Pelodiscus sinensis: one gene and its partner. The protein of the gene in region 1 interacts with the protein of each later gene in a pairwise test. Links are inferred from orthologs where the notes say so. Each region holds a gene or a part of one and is shown on either strand. Other genes may lie near its edges.

The links.
Region 2: the proteins of GRB10 (region 1) and GIGYF2 interact in a two-hybrid assay, tested with the Homo sapiens proteins (2 studies listed by BioGRID). The link is inferred for Pelodiscus sinensis from reciprocal best matches to the Homo sapiens genes GRB10 and GIGYF2.

Annotation. Positions count from the first base shown.
Region 1 is NC_134712.1:156,339,815-156,350,053, reverse strand, and holds the start of GRB10 (growth factor receptor-bound protein 10), read right to left. Parts: upstream 4,105-10,239; 5' UTR 3,635-4,104; intron 1-3,634.
Region 2 is NC_134720.1:4,776,462-4,787,088, reverse strand, and holds the start of GIGYF2 (GRB10-interacting GYF protein 2), read right to left. Parts: upstream 4,593-10,627; 5' UTR 4,466-4,592; intron 1-4,465. Other genes in the region: uncharacterized protein LOC102449525, read left to right, coding at 6,769-6,814. UniProt on the Homo sapiens protein: Key component of the 4EHP-GYF2 complex, a multiprotein complex that acts as a repressor of translation initiation. In the 4EHP-GYF2 complex, acts as a factor that bridges EIF4E2 to ZFP36/TTP, linking translation repression with mRNA decay.

The DNA.
Region 1 (10,239 bases):
CAATATGAATGACCCTCAGGCACCTCCACAAGATGATGCAGCTGATCTGCCTGCTCAGACATGTCTATTCAACTATTGGGGACATCTCATCCTACACTTTAAGCTACGTAAAAAGATGCCTCCTGCCATGAGGGTAGGGGACTGGCCTCAATGACCTCTCAAGGTACCCTCCAGTTCTAGTGTTCTATGATTCTATGCTTGCAAATACTGCAAAAATAAGATCCAATGTCATACCTGCCCATTGGACATTTCATAGTGTCAGACAGCTCAAGTTTCAAAAAAATAGTTTCTCTGCTTTTCCTAGCTTGGGTATGGATGGGAGAGAAATCTTTAAACAGAGGGATAGAATGACAGTGCCAAGAAATTAATACAGCAACACTATCACTACCCATTAAGTTATACAACATTGCTAACTGATCTTTAAATGTTTGTTCAGTCTACTTTCAAAGTTATTTTAAAGTAAAGGAATTAGAGTTTTTACTATATTCAGTGATAACTTTACCTAAACAAGTCAAATGATTTAAGTACAACCCAGAGTCCTACAAGTGCAAGCTAGTACTACCCCCTAAAGCCCTCTGGTGTTTTATTCCTTTATATGACTGGCAAGGAGGCTTTTGCTGTGCAACTCTCCATTCACAGTGAGGCACTACCACCTCAATATACACATACGGAGACACCACAAATAATCTAAGGGGAAAACCTAAGTGAAGTTGGTTGTGGCTCCCAGCCTAGAGCTGCTCTGCAGTACACCAGCTGCTAACAGTCTCCAATGGGACATCTGCTAGCTGGGGACTGTCAGATTAACATCCTCCCCCTTCCCACCAGTGTTGCAAGGGCTGTTGGAAGATGGCACATGGCCTAGCTATACTGTCTTCATGCCAGCTGGCAACATCCCATCTTGGAAGGAACCCACAGCAATGGAGATCCAGCTACTTTCAGCCCTTACATGCCAGTGGACTGCAATTCAGGATCCAGCCCACAGTTTGTAGGGTAACTTGTAGTGATTCTTGTTAGATTCAGAGTCATGGAATATAAACAAGACAGCGAGTTGCAAATGTTCACTTTATGACTACAGTTGTTCTTTTCCATGGGTAGACATGAAATGCAGATATCCATTTTACATCTAAGCAATGCTTTCAAAGTGGTGTTTATTATTTCTTTTGAAAGCAAGTTACACCTGGGTTAGAGATTGGAAGCCAACACACACCACAGTAGGGAAGAGGATACTTTGACTGACAAAAACCAAGGAAACTCACTAGAATATCCAGCCAGAGCAAACAAGATCTACTTTAAGAACAAAGAGTGCAAATGAACTACAATATTAGCAGGTGGGAAGGGGGGGGGGGGGAGAGGAAGAAACAATAATTTCAGGCATGTGGAGGGGTCCCTTCATTATCATTCATAACAGATGTTACCAAACATCACTTTTTAGTCTGTGTTTGCTCGGTGTTGTGCAGCTTATTTAAAAAGGAGATTGATATCAAGACTGACTTGGCTCAAAGATTAAGTTTATTCATTAGACTACAACGGTACATCTTGAGACAAAACACAAGGGAAAGAGAAGAATATGCTTCTTGAATAGCCACATTGCTTCCATTCAGACCTTGCTAGGGAAAATATGTGTATGTTCTGAGCATTCTGCATGTCCCTTCACTCCTCGTCTGCCTATCTAAATGAACTGAAGCAGCCATCAAGGTTGTCATTTACAGCATTTCATTTCAGGCATAATTCCTTCTTCCACTCAGGTTGTCCAATCGCCACACATTTTTTTTAAACTGTCCTCATAACTCACTCCTTTTTATCCTAGGATTAGCCTTGTTGCCCTCCTCTGTTTCTCTGAATGCTGTAAGTACAACTAGCCCATGGATTTAAGAATGAGTTAAACTGAAATCTTACAACTGTTTATTGATCACACCACCTACAAAAGCTTGGTTCAGAAGATCACACCTCCCAGATGCAATACAATTTCATTTGACTATTAAGTTAAATTTTAGAAATCTAACATCCCACCCCCTTCATAATGCCCATTGTTATTTCTCACTTTATAGGAGTAAGATCATGAACAAGCACAGTACTGCTTTGTGAACCTTGATCGGTATTGCTTTGACATACCAGAAACATATGTTCCCAGTTCAACAAATCAAAACATTTTACACAGAACACCACTGCAGATACAGTGGTGCTCTCAAGTGCTGAATCAGCACTCTCCATACTACTCTAAAATTAAATGTTATGTGGATTTTAAGGAAGGGGGGAGAGTAGGGTGGGCCTGGCAGTTTAAGAGATTTTGCACTAGTGCATCTTTGGGGTTTGGACTAGATGACTTCCTGAGGTCTCTTCCAACCCTAATCTTCAATGATTCTATGGTCTGCCAAACCAATTAATTGCAGACTTTCTTTTATAAGATGATAAAGTTTAGGTCCCAGTTTTTGCAACAAGGCAAACAAGGTATAGAAGGGGAGCCCATGTGGAACAGATTTTTCCTGCTCTACCTCCAATCATGAGTTGAAGGTGGGGGAGGGCAAGAAAGTAAAAACCTCTCCCTGCCAAGCCTTATTTCACACGTTCTGGGTTACAAGAAACTACCCAATATTATCCAAAAGCCACCAAAATACTGTCCCACAAAAATGTTCAAAGACTCCCCTTATTCCCAAATCTGTTTTTGAGGATAGCTGGGGAAGGGGGGGGTGAAGAGGGAAGAAGTAAGAGAGGGCAGGCAGCAGCATCCGGAGTGGCACTTCTGTGATCTGTCCTTTGCCTCAAGTTATTCTCCTTGCCAAAAGAGAAAAATGGGGGTAGCATTTCAGACCTAAACTTTTAATACCTCTAGGAAAAGCAACACAAAAGAAACAGTTTAGCTTTCCTGAGGCCCTGTAAAAGCTGTTTCAATTCCCGATAAATACAAGTACAGGCCAGTAAGTACAGCACGCCTAAGAACCGGTGGAAGTGGGAAATGGACCTTATTCTGTGGACTTAAGATCCCCTCTGATCGTTGCAGTCCAGCCCCCTCCTCCTTTCTTCGGGCTTGAAAGGATCTCAGATCTGACAACGAAATGGTTCAAATATGCACACAGGCTCAGTGACTCCCCCAAGGGGCTAATAAAGGTCCAAGGGAGGAGAGACAAGAGAGCACGGCAAACTACTAACAACGGATTCGCCGCACTCAACTCGCCTGAAGTCTTGTCAGTGGAGGCGGGGGGGGGGGGGGGGGGAGGTGGCTCCAGCTTTCCACTCCGCTTTAATGAGGAAGTTTTGAAAGTGACCAACTAAATCCGAAGTCAGGGAAAGAGAATTGCGTACTCCTCTCCCCCGCCCCCCTCCCAACCTCGGCTACTAAGGAACCCTCAGCGCACAAGCTCCCAACCAGCTTATAGGCGATATGTACATTCACGCGCGCAGTCCCCTTGTAATTTAGCCTCATTGCCTCAGGCGTCCTCCCTCACCCTAGCCTGTTCTGCGAGCGCCTAAGCCAGCGCATTCTGCATTCGCAGTCCTGGACCTTTCCCAGCAGTTCCCTGCTCGTGCAGCCTCCTCCCGCCAGATCCCGCTGCTTTGCCCCTTGCAAGGGACGCCTGCAGGACGGGGCATGCCCACTTCACAGCGCACCCTTCCCCTGCCCTGCTGAGTCTCTTACCTGCTGCTGCCCGGCGCCTCTTTCGCCCTCGTGGCCTCCCTCTGGCTGCTCCGGACACCACCAGTGCCCCCTCCCCCTCTCGAGTGCTTCGCTGTGCGCGTCTGGCTCCTTCGCCCTCCCTCTCGCACGCTCCGATCAAGTTTTGTGGCTGCTGTTCCGGTGGGGTCGGGAGTGCAGCAGGCAGCGCGGGATGCTAGCTACGGGGGGGGGGGGGGGTCTTCCCAGCGGGGAGGAGGAAAGTTAAACTCCCATTGCACACGCCAAAATATATACGGCAGCCCCTCCGTACGGGAGGGGAGCTACAAAGAAAACTTCTGCCCTTGCTGAACCGCCGCTGCGGACCCGGCTCCCTCCTCCGAGCTGCTGGTATTAACCCGGGGCTACGTGCCCCCGCCGCCCAGATCTTGCTCCGTACTCAGCTGACTCTCCAGCTTAGGATGCATCATCTCCACCGCCCCCCTCCCCCTTTAATAGGCTTTAAACCCACCTCCCACCCCGGCGCCGCCTCCACGCAGCCGCAGCCAGAGCCATCCCCGCCCCAGCCCAGCGGCAGCCTCCCCGCCCAGCCGGCAGCCAGCCGAGAAAGGGCAGCGGCGCTGCTCCAGTGCGCTCCGCTGGAGCAGCGCTTGCAGCCCGCTGCTGTAGGGGGCTGTTCTGCGGCCGCCGCCGCCTTCCTCCCGCCCCGCGCCAACCCTTCGAGCCCGGCTGCGGGCGGGCGGACGGAGCGAAGCCACTGGCCTGCGCCCAGCCGCGCCCTGGGTGCTACGGCACCGACACGTGTCCGCACACGCTGCACCCTCGCTAACGCCGGCCGCAGCGGGCCACGCGCCTCACCCAGGCTCGCGGGCATGCCAGCAGCACACCGGGCGCGCCGACTCACGCGCCCCCACCCCAGCCCCTCAACACGCAAATTGTGCTCACTTGCTTCTTGCAGACCCACCCCGGCAGTTACAGCCACTTTGCACACGCGTGTACTGGGCTCGCCCATGTTCCTGTGCACACAAGGTGTCTTCGACTTATTTGGGCGTCTCTCGTCGTCCTCCCCCCTTGTATACTCACGATTCACAAGCGTGCTGTCCCCCAAATACGCCTGAACGTTGTGACAACAGAAAATAGTCACCCTGACTGGGATAAGGCCTGTCCCAAGCTGTTTCACACTTAGTCCGGATACAGTGAATGCAACAGGATAGCAAGATCAGTGCTCTGCCAGAAGCTGTGTCACTAGTCATGGAAAAGGAGGTTGAAGTGCTGCTGTGCAAATAAAGAAGCCAAGAAATGCACCAGTAGCAACAGGAGTGGCTGCACCAATCAATCCAGGCCAGCTTCTTAGCATCTCTGCAGAATTATCCTAATGCATGGCAATAAAAATATTTAGTTGGGTTATGGTTTTGATCTGACTTTATTTTTGCACTCCCATTGTACCCACCAAGTGGATGTACAATTTGTGTTGCCAATGTTTGAAAATCTGTTAAGGTGATTTGGGGACCTGCTGCAGAAGCCCTCACCTCTACATCTGCCATCACTTGCCCAGCAATTAATTCTGCCCCCTGATGCCCATCAATTTTGTCCCCACATGAGTTTTTCCCCTACTTCCTCCTACCTCTCACCTCAGCTCCCCTGTTTCTTGCTGCTCTTCACCCACTTCTCCTGAGCCAGGGGGCTGCAGCAGGATTGGAGGTAACTCCCAAGGTTCCTGCCCTTTCCCAAGCCAGGTGTTGGAGGTAGAGGTGGAGAGGAGCCAATCCAGGGGAGGGAAGGGAGAAGTGCAGTTACCCTAGTTGACAGAGCTCTTTCTGTTCTCTCCTCTCCTGTAAGAAATGGGGCCATCTCCTGATTGGAGTGGGAAGAACACTTCCAGCTTCTTACAGCTGCATTGAGTGGTTGCTTTTCCTCAGGAGGTAGGGCAAGCAACCAATCAGAGGGAATTCCTCCCAAGCAGGACTGAAATTAGCCCTGTCATTGCTAAGATGCAACCCAAACTAAACTCCAATGCAGTGGTTCCCAACCTTTTCAAGCGTAGGGCCCCTTTTTCAATCTGTTAAAATTTTATGGACCCCATCCCCCAAAGGAAGTGGTGGCTATCACGTCCCTTAGCCTGAACTGCTTTCTCAGTTCCCGCCCCTCCATCCCTGCCCTTCCATGGAGGATATGGCGAGGGGCCTGTCGTGGCTAAAGGCAGGTCTTGCCTCAGCACTCCACCCTTGGCTGGGCATGGAGTCCTGGGGGAGAAAAAAAAAAGAAAAGGAAAAGAAAAGGAAGGATTGGGCCCACTGCGGGACTGGTAGCAGGAGAGGGCTTGAGCATGGATAGCAGTGCAGCTAGCGGTGGGAGGATGGATGTTGCCTCCTGGGGTATCAAGATCCCATCCTGAGGGCCAGAGGTGGCATGCGGGTGAGGCCGGTTGCAAACAGCGAGCCCCACGTGAGAATTGTCTGGTGGATAGTCCCAGTCCCATGGTGAGCCTAATCCTTACTTTTATTTCCTTTCCTTTCCTAAACTTTCCATGGACCCTATAAAGTACTGTTATGGACCCCCCAGGGGTCCATGGATCACAGGCTGGGGACCACTGCTCTAGTAGAAATGTAGAGTCTATTTAAAGACTTTGCGGTCTGTAACCATTAGAGATCATAATGAGGCTTACCTGGAAGCTGACTGTGCATCTAATACTGGCTAGAGTCAGAGACAGGATACTGGACCCAAAAGACTATTGGTCTGATGCAGTATGGCAATTCGTATGTTCCTGAGGGCTCAGGGCTTGCCCATACCAAGTCAATATGTTGGAGACATCCCACTAGCACTCAAGGTTATGGTAGGATCTTGATATTTTACCAGTTGGTCTTGGCCACCTGGAACAAGCCACTCAAAGCACAAGCAGAACTTCAGGTCATTGGGCCTCAGCACTATAAGGGGCAGAAGCCCTACTTCCAGTGGATTGGCTCCATTATCAGCTGCCTGATCAGCAGAGAGCTTTTTCTGGGAGGAGCAGTGGGGAGGGCGGAATGAGGACAGCAAATAGAATGTGAAATGTTTCTAAGGTGGCATGCCTGGGGGTTGGAGTGTGGTTTGGATGGATGTTTACAGGGGACAGGAGATCTTTAAATGCCCTGGATAATAGGTGAGTAGGGAGGGTTGGACAGTGACAGAGGAGATCTGGAAAGAGAGTCTAGAGTGTCTTAGAAATACACATATAAACATACTTGTGCATGCTGTTTGTAGACTATACTTCCAAACAAGATGTATCAGCTAGTAAGTAACTACATGACCTTTTTTCCTCCCTATTCTTGCCTGCCCATCCTGTTTTCAATTTTATTCTCACTTGTTTTATCAATACCATCATTTATATCACAGACAATGTGCCTGTCTCTCTGTTATGTTCTTGTTCTTGGAACAATACATGGCAACAGGGGAATATTTATAAACTGGGTGGCACCTCTATTCTCTTGGATTCTCAGTCCTTGGGCTCTCACACACTTGTAATACTTTTTTAGCTTTTCAGCAACAGGGGTCCTTGTGCATTTCATTTCACCTGTCACCAGGCCTGCATGCAGCTCCACACAATCCAAATAATACTTTTAAGTGCCTCACATGTTGACAAGTAATTTGGAGAAAAGGCTCTTCCAAGGAATCCAGGGGTAACCTCCAAAGGAACCTTTTTTTAAAAAGTGTCATTTGGTGCAATCTAGTACATTCTAAAGATGGGAGGGGCAGAGCACATTCCATGAACCATGCCTTAGAAACACCCACTTGCAGAAAAGAATCAGCTTTATCTACAGAGGACGATGAATGCCACTGGAAGCAGGGAAATTCCCAGTGCTCATTATCATTAGAAACCACTATTGGCATGCATTGATTATAACATAGTCATTCCAGTTTCTGTTAAACACCTTTTTAAAAGTAATTTCCTATTTCTACATTGCTTTTATTCTTCCATCTTTTTCCATTTTCCATACCTTTCATCCCCTTTACGGTATATGCTGGTGCCTTTTCACAGCTGTCCCTTCATCTCACCTTCCTCTTTCTGTACGTGTCATGTCCTTCGCCTGTGTTCTTTCAGCTCTCAATCCTTCAGTCATTCCCTCACATCATCTCTCCAGTCTATCACACATATCAAATAGCCTGTCACAGATACACATGATCCAGCCATATGCTTACCATTCACCCATCATAGACACTCAGCATCTCCAACTCTACCTGAGGACCTTAGGGGTAGGAAGCCACTCCTACCACCATTGCTAGGGCGTGTGGGGCAGACCCACCTGGTGGATAGGATGATGGTACCAGAGAGCTCTCTCCCCACTCCCAGCTCCTCACAGGGCTTCCTTTGTAAGGGTTACTGGAGCCTCTCCTCCATGGACCCTCTGCTTCATAGGGAGTATGACTCAAATAAATGCAACAGATGAGGCATCAAGGGAGGCCCTCACAGCAGCAGCAAGGAGCGACTGCAGGCCTCCTTGTTCTGGCCCTTTGTTTCGGGGTGGAGACTGAAAGCTCTCTTCTTGCATCATGTTGTCTAGTGAGCGGTGTGGAGCGGAGCTCCCCCCATCACAAGAAAGGCACTGCTGTGGAGGAGAGGGAGGCTCTGAAAAACTGATGAGGTATGTCTAAACTACATGGCTCCGTTGACGGAGCCATGTAGATAAATTCACTAGACATAGGAAAATGAAGCGGTGATTTACATCAAAATGGCCGCTTTGCTGTGCTGATCAGCTGTTTGGCGGCACAGTGGGGCAGTCTGGACGCGCCGCAGTCAACAAAGGAAGCCTTTGTCAACTGCTCCCTTGTGCCTCTGAAATGAGCTTTACTGGAGAGGTCGACAAAAGTTTCCCTTGTCGACCACAGCGCATCCAGACTGTCCCGCTATACTGCCAAATAGCTGATCGGCATAGCGCGGCGGCTATTTTGATGTAAATGAAGCTTCATTTTCCTATGGTCTAGTAAACTCATCTACATGGCTCCATCGAATGAGCCATGTAGTCTAGACATACCCCTGAAGAGGAAGGTGTCTCATGGGTCAGCTAAATGAGATCAGCAGTAATATTCTCCCTGGCCTCCAACAAAGTGGAAGTGTAAGACACTCCCGTCCCCCATCCTCAGCTACCATAAGAGAGAAGATACTGGTGACTGAACTAACCACTGTGGTCAGGTTGACAGACCAGGCCTTCCGATACCTTTACCCCATGTCCATATGGCAGGGAGGGGGAAGTGGGAGGGTGAAAGGAAAGTTTCTCCCCTTTTCTTCTTCACTGGCTGTGGGTAGAGAGGCAACGGATGCAGTTCAAGGCAGCTGATGCAGTACCTCCTTTGCCTGGGGCATGCTGTTCATGAAGCAAGTTTCCTCCTCATGCCTAGAAAGTGTGGAATGATGTTATTGTGACATCACATGATCCTGTAGCTAGGCCTAACCTTATTGGGCCTATTGGTTAATCATATTCAACATAGGCTTCTTTAGTGAGGGGATGACTTATATTTGCAATTCTATAGCATTAGTCACTATAAGAGATCAGTATGTATTACAAAGGTGATGCTTCACTCTTTCTAAAGATGAGGAAACTGAAACAAAACGAGGTTAAGTGATTTGCCCAATGTCACAAAGCAAGTCAGAATTATACTTCAGGAATTCCAGGTTTCCAAAATTATTCCACCTGTCCAGTCAAAGTATCACAAAATATTTCAGGATTGACTATTAAATATAAACAACAGTGTCAAAATACATAAAAGTTACATACAATGAAAAAGTAACAAAGGTTATGTCAGGGTCTTTCCATTTCTGAGGCTTAACTGGCTTTCTTCCAATAAGCATACTCTCCCTAAATACTGCTGATCCATCAGTTTATCATAAATTAACTTTAATATTTTACAAGTGTGAGAACATGTCTATTTGACATTACATATGATTTTAAAGGATTAAAATGTATACACTGTGTGTCATTATGTTACATTTTACAGACAATAAAATTACTTGTACTGGAGCCAAACTTGTTGATAGATTCCTCTATAAGTGCTTATGACAGAGTGTCCAGTTGAATGATTAGTAAGTGGGTGTCTGAGCATAAATTTACTTATATAAATAGAAAGCATTTTACTGGGAGATTGTTGAAGAGTTCATTCATATAATATTTATGTGTCTCATCATGGCAGTAAAACAAAAAACCAAAAACACCAGCATGTGAGGAATATTTCCTGTACATTCTGGCAAATATAAATAGCAAGCAAGACATGTTTAGTTTCCAGAACTACAGCTGTATTGTTTGAAACTAAACTATACTGTCATAAAACAATTAAAATGGTTAACTATAGCAGTAGAACTAGATCCTTATAACTGCAGGGAAGAGCAGATTTATGAGATAGTTAGCTTCTTTTTCCTGAGCTAACAAATCTCTGAAAAAGTTACCGTATACTATATCATGGAAATAATAGCCTGAATGTAAAACAGCCTTCAAGATAAGCCACTATTTTTTTGGAATATAAGTTGTATTCTACTGAAAGGAAACATGCAAGAATCAATGTTGACAATGCTATTTTGTCGGTATATGATCATTTCCACTCAATGACAGCCACAGAAGTATAAATTACAAAGGCAGGGACTCAAGTTTCTAAAACTTTTT
Region 2 (10,627 bases), on another chromosome or scaffold:
TCATGGAAGGTTGAAGAAATGTACAACAAAGCTGCAAAAATGTTGACATTCCATCAAGTATTGGGAGTGTATCCCAGAATTCAAATCTGCACTAACAATGATGGGATGGCTGCCCACCGTACATCACTCAATGATTAACATGGCAATGAGGATGTGCTCCTGCATGTGAATGTATGTAATGGGAACATGCAGCATTAACTTTGTAAAATTGGAGGCAAAAATTCAACTTAAATTCAACCTACTTTTGTAACGTACACAAACCCAGAGAGATGTGAACAATCAAGACTCCAGGGAAGGTCTAAGAAAAGGATTCTTCCTTTTCCCAACTGACTGGAATATAAACTTTCCACCCATAGACGATATATGAAGAGGATATCGGCATATTCATATGGTTCTAAATACAAAACTGTTATCTGCAAAAATGAGCCATGGATATCTGCATCCACAGATATCTGCAAATTTGCAGGGCTCTACAAAGGGCAGGGGTGGGAAATAATTTTTGACCAAGGACCACTTCAAAAATGTTTGTAGGGGCGCTGGGCCACTCAAGAAGGGGCGGGGCCTCAGGCAGAAGGGGGCAGCCATGACACTTACCTGCTTCCCCAACCTCAGACCCTTATTCAAAAAGCAGGTTCACAAAGTTTCTTTGTTTTCTGAGAAAGACAGCTGAAAATCATTGTGTATTAAACCCACCACTTCCAACTAAAATACTAACAAAGTCACCCAAACTTACAAAGCTGTGATTGAGACCCTGATCCTTTATCTTCACACCTTGCCACTACCTCTGGAGCTAATAAAACAGTGGTGGAAAACCTTTTTTGGGTGGGGTGGGGGGGATGGACAGACTGACCCACAGGAACAAAAATCAGTCAGGAGACTCACACAAGTGAGAAACAACTGGGGTGGGTGGGGAGGACACTGAAGCACCAATACAAGCTCTGCAATGCTGGTGGGAGGAGAGCCCCAAGCCTTGGGGGCCAGATCTAGGTAAACCAGTGGCTGCATCCAGCCTCCCAGGCCTTACGTTCCCCACCCCTGTAATACAGTGAGTTACAGAAAAGTAATGTAACAAGGCCCTATATTCTTTTTAATATGCAGCCAGCCACAAGAGGGCAGGATGTTCACATGTACATTATAATTACCATAACTAAACATCTCTTCTTGACAGCTCATGAAACCATCTACATGTTTTGTTAGTCTATAAAGCGCTACAAGACCATTTGTTGTTTTATTAAAATCCTTGTTAGTTTTTTGTTCCGTTTTACAGTCAAAGTATAATTTATCCAAATTTTTCCTTGAATGGGCATACTAGAAAGTTAATATAACCATGTCATCACAAAAGCCAAGGAAAGGAATCCTGAATTGAGATGACAATAATCAGACTGTTTAAAGACAATGGGACTGTTCATTAACAGGTGTTTAACTCAAACACTCAAAGGAACAGTTTGGAGGCAAGATCTTTGTGAAATGTTTTAATAATGGGAGGGAGGAGAGCATTGGGGAGGAAACACTCATGTATCAGTTATTTGGACTTCCAATTAAATCTTCAGTAAAAAAAAATTAATATATTTGACATTTCAAATGTTAAACACAAGCAGAAAACTTCAAGACAACGGAAGGCCTGAACACAGTAAAGAAGAAATATAATCAACAAAATGTGCAGCAAGGGTCTCCCACCAACTCTCCTTTGTAGGCCACTTTTAACTGACCCGGTCTACAGTTAAAACTTAAGTGATCTAGCTAGCTCTCTCAAAACTGTATAAAAACCTTCACACCCTTTGAAACATAATGAGGGTGACCTAACCACGACTGTAAATGTAGGTAGATTGACAGGTGTAAAAAAAAAAATCTTCTTTTGATGTTGCTACTAAAGATATAAAAGGTTAACCAGTAGGCCTCACCTTAATGGGTGAGGCTTACAGGTTCTGGTTACAGGTAGGGGCTGAGGCAACCCCTGTCCCTGGCAAGCCAGATCCACCTTCCCCCATCAGATTATATGCTGGCTCCCTGGGAGCAGGGCCAGGCATTTAAAAATGTAACTATGTAACCACTAAAAATCAGAGCGGTTACAGGTGCTGGAGGCTCTGCAGCATAGCTTATTTAAGTGTAAATGCTATGATTTTTAGTGGTTACACAGTTACATTTTTAAACATATTTTTACATCCCTACTAGCCACTGCCTCTTGAGATTCTAGATTTACTAAAAAAGAGAAATATCCTTTTGTGATCTGTTGCAATGCTTGTAGTGTAGATGTACCTTAAGTTATCTTTTTCTTCAGTGTTCTAGTATGCTACTAATATAATTTCACAGAGCTGTATACTCAGAAAAAGTACATCCAGCCACCCAGATAATGTGCAAGTGGGCTATTCATCATCTCTCAATTTTACAGTTCATCCCAAATGGAAAACTTCATTTGCCTCTTTTGAAGCATTCATAAATGTGAAAGGCATTATTCAACTTGATTTGTTTTATTTCGTAATTTTAAAAAAATATCAGTCTCTTGGCAGACCTTATAGATAATACATCTCTGGAAGAAGGGACATAGTTTTTCTTTAAAATGTGAAGACTTTTCAACTCTCCAGTTGGTGTTAGTCTTTTCAGAAAGCAAGATGACTGACAATACAGTGGGAAATAGTGAAACCGACTCACAAAGTAAAAATAGAGGAAAAAAGCCCCAGAGCTTTACAAAAACTTTTCATGTATTTGATAAATTATTTTACTGATGTGTTACAACATCAAGAAACCTGTGTATTTGCAAAGGAAGAATAGTACACCAAGATAGCAATATAAATATTCTACATTTCAATTGTTAGCTGAAATCATTTGTTCAAAAAAGGCTCTGCAGCAAACCTGATGACAGAGAATGCAATCTTTGTGCAAGTACCTCCACATGCCCAGACAAGGCTTCTCTGTCCACCTCCTGAAATCACTAACAAATAATTTACAGCTTTGTTAGAGAACTGAAGAGAGATATTAAGACAGCAATGGAATCAAGAAGCTGCCAAGTCTTGCTATCACTGCTGTAAATTTTCAGTGCCACATATCACTTAAGTGATGGTACCCCTATTTCTGACCTATTTAACACAGTAAACAGAATCTTGCATTTTGTCCATGCTCAGTAAAGAATCTATTCTGTGACAAGTGCTCTGACACCAGTTACTTCACTGAGTTAGCATAGCTATGCTTTTTTTAAAAAAAACACCTACTGTTGCACCTACTGTTAGTAGTGACAGGGTGCAGACTAATTACCATAAAATCAACTAACTCTGATCTAAACAAGATTTAGATAAATTAGTGGCCACTAGTGCTCCTACCATCTCTACTACTAAGAGAGTTGGCAGCAATAGGTGAGTTCAACAAATGCCAGAAGAATCCACTTGTTTGGAAAGTGACACATGCTAGCTCTTGAAGCAAGAAATCAAAGGCTGATAAACCAAAAATGATTAAATTAAAAGTACAACAGCAGCATTCAGAAATAAAACAGAGAACAAAATATGGACCGTAAAATAATGGCAAAAGTAACCAAAAAAGAAAACCCCCAAGACCATCATTCTGAAGCAAATCAGAATATGGGTTGTTTTTTTTTTAATACTCCAACCACGTCAATAAGTATTGACCCCTTTGGCCTCCAACTTGTCTGGATTTAAACTGCAATTATACATGCTCGTAGGTGCTGGAATCGTTGTGTTGACACTGAGACTACTTGCCTTGGATTAAAACCAAACACACCTGATCCTGATCTACGGGCTCTTCGCCCTACCACAGCCTTTAGGGTCACACGCTGCTGATGATTATTCCCCTTAACACCGATCCTACTGACGCCTCAGCCCTGAACCAGCTCTTTTCTTCCTGTGTCTGCAGTATGACAAGGCCAGACATGCTCAGAGGAGACAGGCGTCAGTGCGAACGGACCCTGCCCGAAGGCTCGCCCAAGACGCTGAGGGGGGCGAGGAGCGCTCGCAGGAGTTAGGGGAAGAAGGGAACGAGCAGGGACCACAAATGGCCCGGAATGACCCAAGAAATCCCGCAGGTGTCTGACAGGCTCCGGCCCACCAGCACTCACCCAACCCACGGCAGGACCTGCTGCCAAAGGCCGCCTGCACGGGGCCTCCACCAGTCAGAGCCACCGGGAAGTGGGAAGAGGGGCAGGCGGCTGCGTCTCCGCGCAAGCGACGGGGGGAAAGACGAACAACGGAGGCTCCGGCAAGGCCTATAGCCCATAAGCCAAGTCCAAGTCACCTCGGCTGCTCAAAGGCCGCGGGCCTCCTTGGCTTCTGTACCCCACGGCAAAGACCTTTCCCCGGGCAGCAACCGCAGGCGACACCGGCGCTTCCACGGCGGCCTAGGCACGTTCCCGCAGCAGGGCCGCCCCGGCGGGGCTGACACGTCCCGGACGGGAAGGAGAAAGGCTCAGGCACCGCCTGGCCGCCCCGGGGAGCCGGCCGGCGCCAACGGGGTTAATTACCTGCGATCCCGGACGGAGAGTCTCTCACAGCCGAAGCAATTCCTCAGTCCCAACAACACAAGATGGCGGTCGCGCCGCCACGCATCGTCACGTGATATAGGGCGCCACCTACCCACCCAGGCCCCGGATGGGAACGGCGGCGAGTTGAGAGCGCGCGCGCGCCGCGAACAGAGCGCGAGCTCCGCAACGCTAACGGCCGCCGCGGGGTGACGCGAGCCCCCGCCCTAGTGCCAGGCCCGGGCCTCGAGAGAGAGCACGAGGCCGGCCGAGGCCGCTGCGTCGGGACAGCGCCCAGCCCCGATCCTACCCTAGGGCCCAGGCCAGGCACGGGCCATAGTCCTCCGCATGCACCCAGCTCGGGCCGGGCGGGAGCCCAAGTGCTCTGGTACTTCCCCACTGCCTCTGTTCTGGGCCCAGCTCTCCCACCCCGCCCGACCTGGGTGATCCAGAGCCCTCTGACAAGGAGCCAGCCCTGCCTGGAAAAGGGGTGCGGGCGGCTCGGGTCAGCAGTGCTGAGCGGGGCGTTAAAGGGCCGCATAGTGGGACAAGGAACTGCCGGGCCTCCCAGGAGTGTTCAGCAGGGACGCTCCCCCGGCCTCCAGTAGCAGCTCCGCCCCTCCCATTGGCCGGGAGGCTTTGTGAGCGGGAGCTGTGGGGGCAGTGCCCAGAAAACCTCCCTCCCCAGACTTTCTGTCGAGGAGCCAGACATACTGGCCCTGTCCCAGCGTCTCAAAGAACCAGGGCAGGCAGGAGTCTGTCTTAGTGCCTCTGTGCCTCTGGCCTAAGGTAAGTACAGCCTAGCTGAACCAGTGCCTTGATCCCCCTCCCAGAGCTTGCAGGCCCAGCCCTGAGCCTGCTCCCACACTCTAAACCCCTGAAACCCAGCCGAGAGCCCCCTCCTACTTCCACAGTCGGCAACACCAACTAGAATCCTTCCTGCACCCCTGCTCCAGCACACAGCCCCCTCCTGAATCCCTCATTTCTGGCCCCATCCCACATCCTGTACCCCCAGCTGGAGTCTTCACCCAGTCTCACAACCCAATCCTCTGGCCCATTCCATTGAATTTGGGGAAAGGACAAGCGATGCAGGAGAAAGTGGGATGAGGCTTAGAACACGGGGTGGGGCAGGGCAGGTGTTTGGTTCTATGTGATTAGAAAGTTGGCAACTGTAGTCACACTTCATATGCAGAAATCACCCTGTCACGTTATTCACACTGCTTTCTCACAGAGGCAGACATCTTGATCAGTGTTCAGGACCTGATGAAAAAAATCTTAACATAGTCAAGGAGTTGACTGAGAAAATATCAGAGACATTGGGTATTATTTTTGAAAACTCATGCAAAACAGAGATTGCAGAGGAAGGCAAATATAGTGCAATCTACTAAGACAATCTGGGTAATTACAGATGAGTCCTCTTAATTTAAGAACACAGAAAGATAATAGAGTAAATAATCAGTTTACAAACACCTGGAAAATAAGGTGATGATGGCTTATCAAGGAATGTTGCTTTTGAAGAACAAATCATGACAAATTAACCTAATGGCTCTGCTTGATAGGAAACAAGCCTTGTGGATGGGATGTGGCAGGGGAGGAGTGGTAGATGTTGTATATCTTGATTTTAGTAAGGCTTTTGTTAGTGTCCCTCTTGATCTCAAACTAGGGAAACAAAGCCTAGATGGAGTTACTATAAAGTGCATGCATATTTGGTTGGAAAAACATTCCTGTAGAATAGTTATGGTTCACAGTCAAGCTGGAAGGGTCTATCACATGGGGTCTTTCAGGTATCAGTTCTGGGTCTGATTCTGTTCAATATTTTCATAAATGATTGAGACTAAAATTATACAGCGTACACTTAAAGTTTGAAGACAATACCAAGCTCAGTGGGGTTGCAAGTACTTTGGACGATAGGATTAAAATTAAAAGTCATCTGGACAAATTTGAGAAATTGTCTGAAGTAAACAATTAAATTAAAAAAGGACAAATGCACTAAGGAAGGAACAATCACTTGCACACACATACATGGGAAATGACTGTCTAGGAAGGAGTACTATGGAAAGAGCTCTGGGGGCACGGGTATTGGATGAAGCTATCTCTTGGGAAGGTGAACTCCCCAGGCTTTGGCCCTGCCCATATTCTACTGCAGGCTCCAGACATTCTTCCCAGGCACTGCCCTCTCCCCACTGTTCTCTTCTTTCCCTGCCCTGCTTACCCCCTTTAAGCAAAATCCCTGAATCCAAATGTAGAAAATGACATTTGAAAAAAAAAAACACTCTTCTACAATTTCTTTCTAACGAAAATGGAACATGTTATCCACTGCATGCCAGATTGTGAAGACTGGACCTGCAGAAGGTACCTAATTAAATTTATTTGGGAATAAAAAAAGTCACAAGTTTTTTTTATATATACCCTGAAGTTTGTCAAAGATTTATTTGCACAAACTTTGTGGTAAGGGCAGGTCAGCTGTCCTGCTGAATATAACATTAAATATTATGGAATAGATGATGCAGCTCTTCTTTGTTTAATTTTTTTTAATCAGTATTTCTGAGCTGATTTTATATTTTAATTTTACTCTTAAGCCTGCACAAGTAATCATTCCAGATTACTACAGATTTAAGACACTGAAGCAAAAATATAAGTTTAAATTAATCAGAGCAATTTAGTGTGTTCATCACAATATTCATTGCTTTTAGAAAAAGGGAACACTAATTTATTTTGTGTAATCTCCATAACAATAGACATATTTACAAAATTTCATTTTATATTAATGTTAAAAATATGTCTAAATATTTTAGGTATAACAAGATTTTATACCTTACTGATTTTGGTGGAGGGTTCTCGTAAAAGTAGTTCATCAAATAGTCAGAAGTAAAAAAAGGGAAAATTCATTTTAACCAGGTATGTAGAAGAAAAGAGGTGTTGTCCCTATAAGGACTCTCTTGAACAGAGAGTGAAAAGAGAAAGATTACAGCAGAGATAGATAGAAAGAACAAGACGACTTTGGAAGCAAGTTTTTTGTATTATAGTAATTAAAATGTGTATTTTAAATAAGATCTTTTGAAGAATTTAAAGAACTGTTTGTCTGAAGATCCAAGTATGTAAGGCTAAAGATGAATACTCAGATTCTGCATCTCAAAATCTATGCAAGGATGTTTTAAATGTGTGGTTTTATAATCTACTGCCGCAACAAACTGACTAAATATTTTAAGCAAATTGTAAACTAAGGTCCTGTAGCCGAATAGATTGAATAAATATTGCAGGAATGCAAAATTATTTTTGTCAAGTACATTCAGAATCTGACAGTATATACCTCCAGGATGGCAAATGCTTTTTAAATTACTCCATTATTGCTTAATGGCTCTTTGAACAGTTTCAGTCTTATGCTGATAGATCTGGCAAGTTGTAAGACTTTTCACTTTGAAATTACTAGATTGCCTCTAGGGGCAGACTCACCAGGCTGAAACACCCTGTTGTTGGAGCCTGCAGGAAGAATCAGACTAGGGGTAAGAAGAGGTAGGTGTTTGGACATTAAGATCCAGGGGAAGCAATGTCTTCCCTTTCCTCTATACTGACCATGTCTGGGAGTTGATAGTGGATCACAAAGTAAATATGAGTCAACAGTGTAACACTGTTGCAAAAAAAGCCATAATTCTGGAATGTATCAGCAGGACTATTGTACTCAAGACACAAGAAGTAATTCTTCCATTCTACTCCATGTTGTTAAGGCTGCAACTGGAGTATTGTATTGTGTCCGGTTCTGGGCTCCATATTTCAGAAAAGTTGTGTACCAATTGGAGAAGGTCCAAAGGAGCGCAGCAAAAATGATTAAAATTCTAGAAAGCATGATTTGTGAGGAAAGATTGCTAGCAGCTGCATCAAGCATGTGTCTGGAAGCCACTTTAGCCCCACTGGGCTGATGGTGGTGGTAGTGGAGGCCCCTGGTCATTTTAAATCACCCTGAGCAGCAGGCAGGCTGGGGGGGGACATGGGGGAGAGGGGATTGCGCAGGGGCCGGAGCATAGACAACTGGTGTCTGCAAGGGATGGGGAGTAGGGAGGACCACTCAGAGGAACAGGGAGGGGGGTATAAGAGCACTCCATTTAGCAATTACAATTTTGACAAGGCACGGGGGTGCAGTGCACCTCCTGGGTGCTGCCACAAGTCATCTATTGCCGGGGTGAGACCCGGCCCTAACCTTTGGTGTAGATGAGATAGGAATATTCCTGTTATATGGGCCCATGGTACCCAAGGACCTCGCTGCCTATGACCACATTACATATATTTGGAAAAATCTTAGCATTTAGAATGAGCTCCATTGGGAGACTGAAGAGACAGGATGGGTGAGGTGGTATCTTTCATTGGACTATTTTGTTGGGGTGTGTCTACACTGCACCTTTAGCTTAAATAAACCCTATTCTGAAATGTCCCTTAGTCCTCATGGAACAAGGTTTACAGGGATGTCAGAATAACTACTCCATTATATTTTGAAATAACAGGCTTCTTTCAAAGATGTGGAATAGCTATTTCAGGCTACTGAAATAATGCTGCAGTGTAGATGTACCTTTAGAAAGAAGGACTAATCATATGCAACTGCTCTGAGGGAGCATCTGCCTCTGTAGCAAAACTGTAAGGTTCTGGTCTCTGACAACTTGTATTTCCATTCTCTTGGCTGCTTGCTATTACTAATGGCTAGAAAAGTGCAGGGGAGGATAGCAAGAAAAAGAATTCCAACCCAAGATGTCAGAATAGGCACTTGCAGCTCTCTTGCAGAAGCAGCTGTGCCTTGTAGCATTGTTGTTCCAATGTCGTATCTTGACAGAAGTCAGTTAGATCATGTGAATATCTCTTTGCATTTTACTTGGAGAATTCAGAAGAGGCCTCTGTCTGACACTGGAGAAATCTAGTTTGTGGGGACTTGCTTTTAGTTAGTTTAGTTAGTTTGGGGGAGTTTATCAAGCAAAATTTCAAGAAGGGAACATTTTTAAGGTATGCATTTTTTTTAAATTTTATTTGGAAAATTCAAAATACATTTTAGTATCTATTTTAGTAGAGTTATCCGAGGACTTCTGTTATGCTCAAGCAAGCAGAACATAAGACTATTACAAACCACAAGACTATGGAGCCAAATTATTCCTAGGTATAACTACAGGAACTATGGCAGATGCACAGTAGGTATAAATTTGGCTCTTGATAAGCAAACACTCCTGCTAGTCTGCCTTTTAATAGATTAAACTTAAAAAACAACAGATAATCTAGCAGCTAAACTAAAAAAAACCCATGTAGATGGTATCATGTGCTTTCATAGACACAACCCACTCCTTCAGATGAATTTAATTATGCAAGGAGAGCTGCGGGCTGGAGATTCTTCAGGTGATAGACCTGTAGAGGCAGGGCATGAGTGATGATGTTTGCCCTGGCTGTCAAGTGCTGATTATGGCCTCCCCACTGTTGCCCACGTCAACTGTGGATCTGTATCTATCACTGACACGGCTGGAGTTGAGAGTGGCAGCATTGAAGCCGGTGCCGCTTTATTTGAACACGCCACTTTTGCCTGCAGCCCCGTATAATTTTGTGATGCTGGGTTTTATGGGGCACCACAAGTGTGGAGTACCCCTAGGCTTCAGCACTGAGGAAGTGCAGACAGGCGCCGTGGCTAATTTGTAAGCTCTGCCTGCCATTTTGGTAGCAGGGGTCCTCAAAGTGCCTGGTCTCTTCCCTACTTACTCTCAAGGAAGAGTGTGTCGGAGAAGTGGCTCTTTTCTTTGGTGAGTCTTCCTATTCTTGGGAGGCATTTTGTGCTTCAGCAGGCTGCATAGCCTTGTCCAATAATATAATTCTGAGGTGGAGCACTGTATTCTTTCTAGCTCTTCCTGCCAGGCTGCAGCAGTGATCACACTTCTGTGGTATGTGGGCTTCCCCTAAGTAGCAAATGCATAGGGAATGGTCATCGGATACTGGCATGGGCTCCTAGCACTCATCACATTTCTTGAAGCCCGAAGAACCAGACATATTGATTTGTCTGCAGTGTTACTCTTTCTCTTTTCCTTTTCTGTACTGGAAAAAAAAAAGAAAGAAAAAGAAGAGAGGAGAACTGGGAAGGAGCCTGGTTCATGTTGCCTCTGAGCTGAGCAGCTAAGCCATGTTCAAATCCTGTAGGGAAGAAAA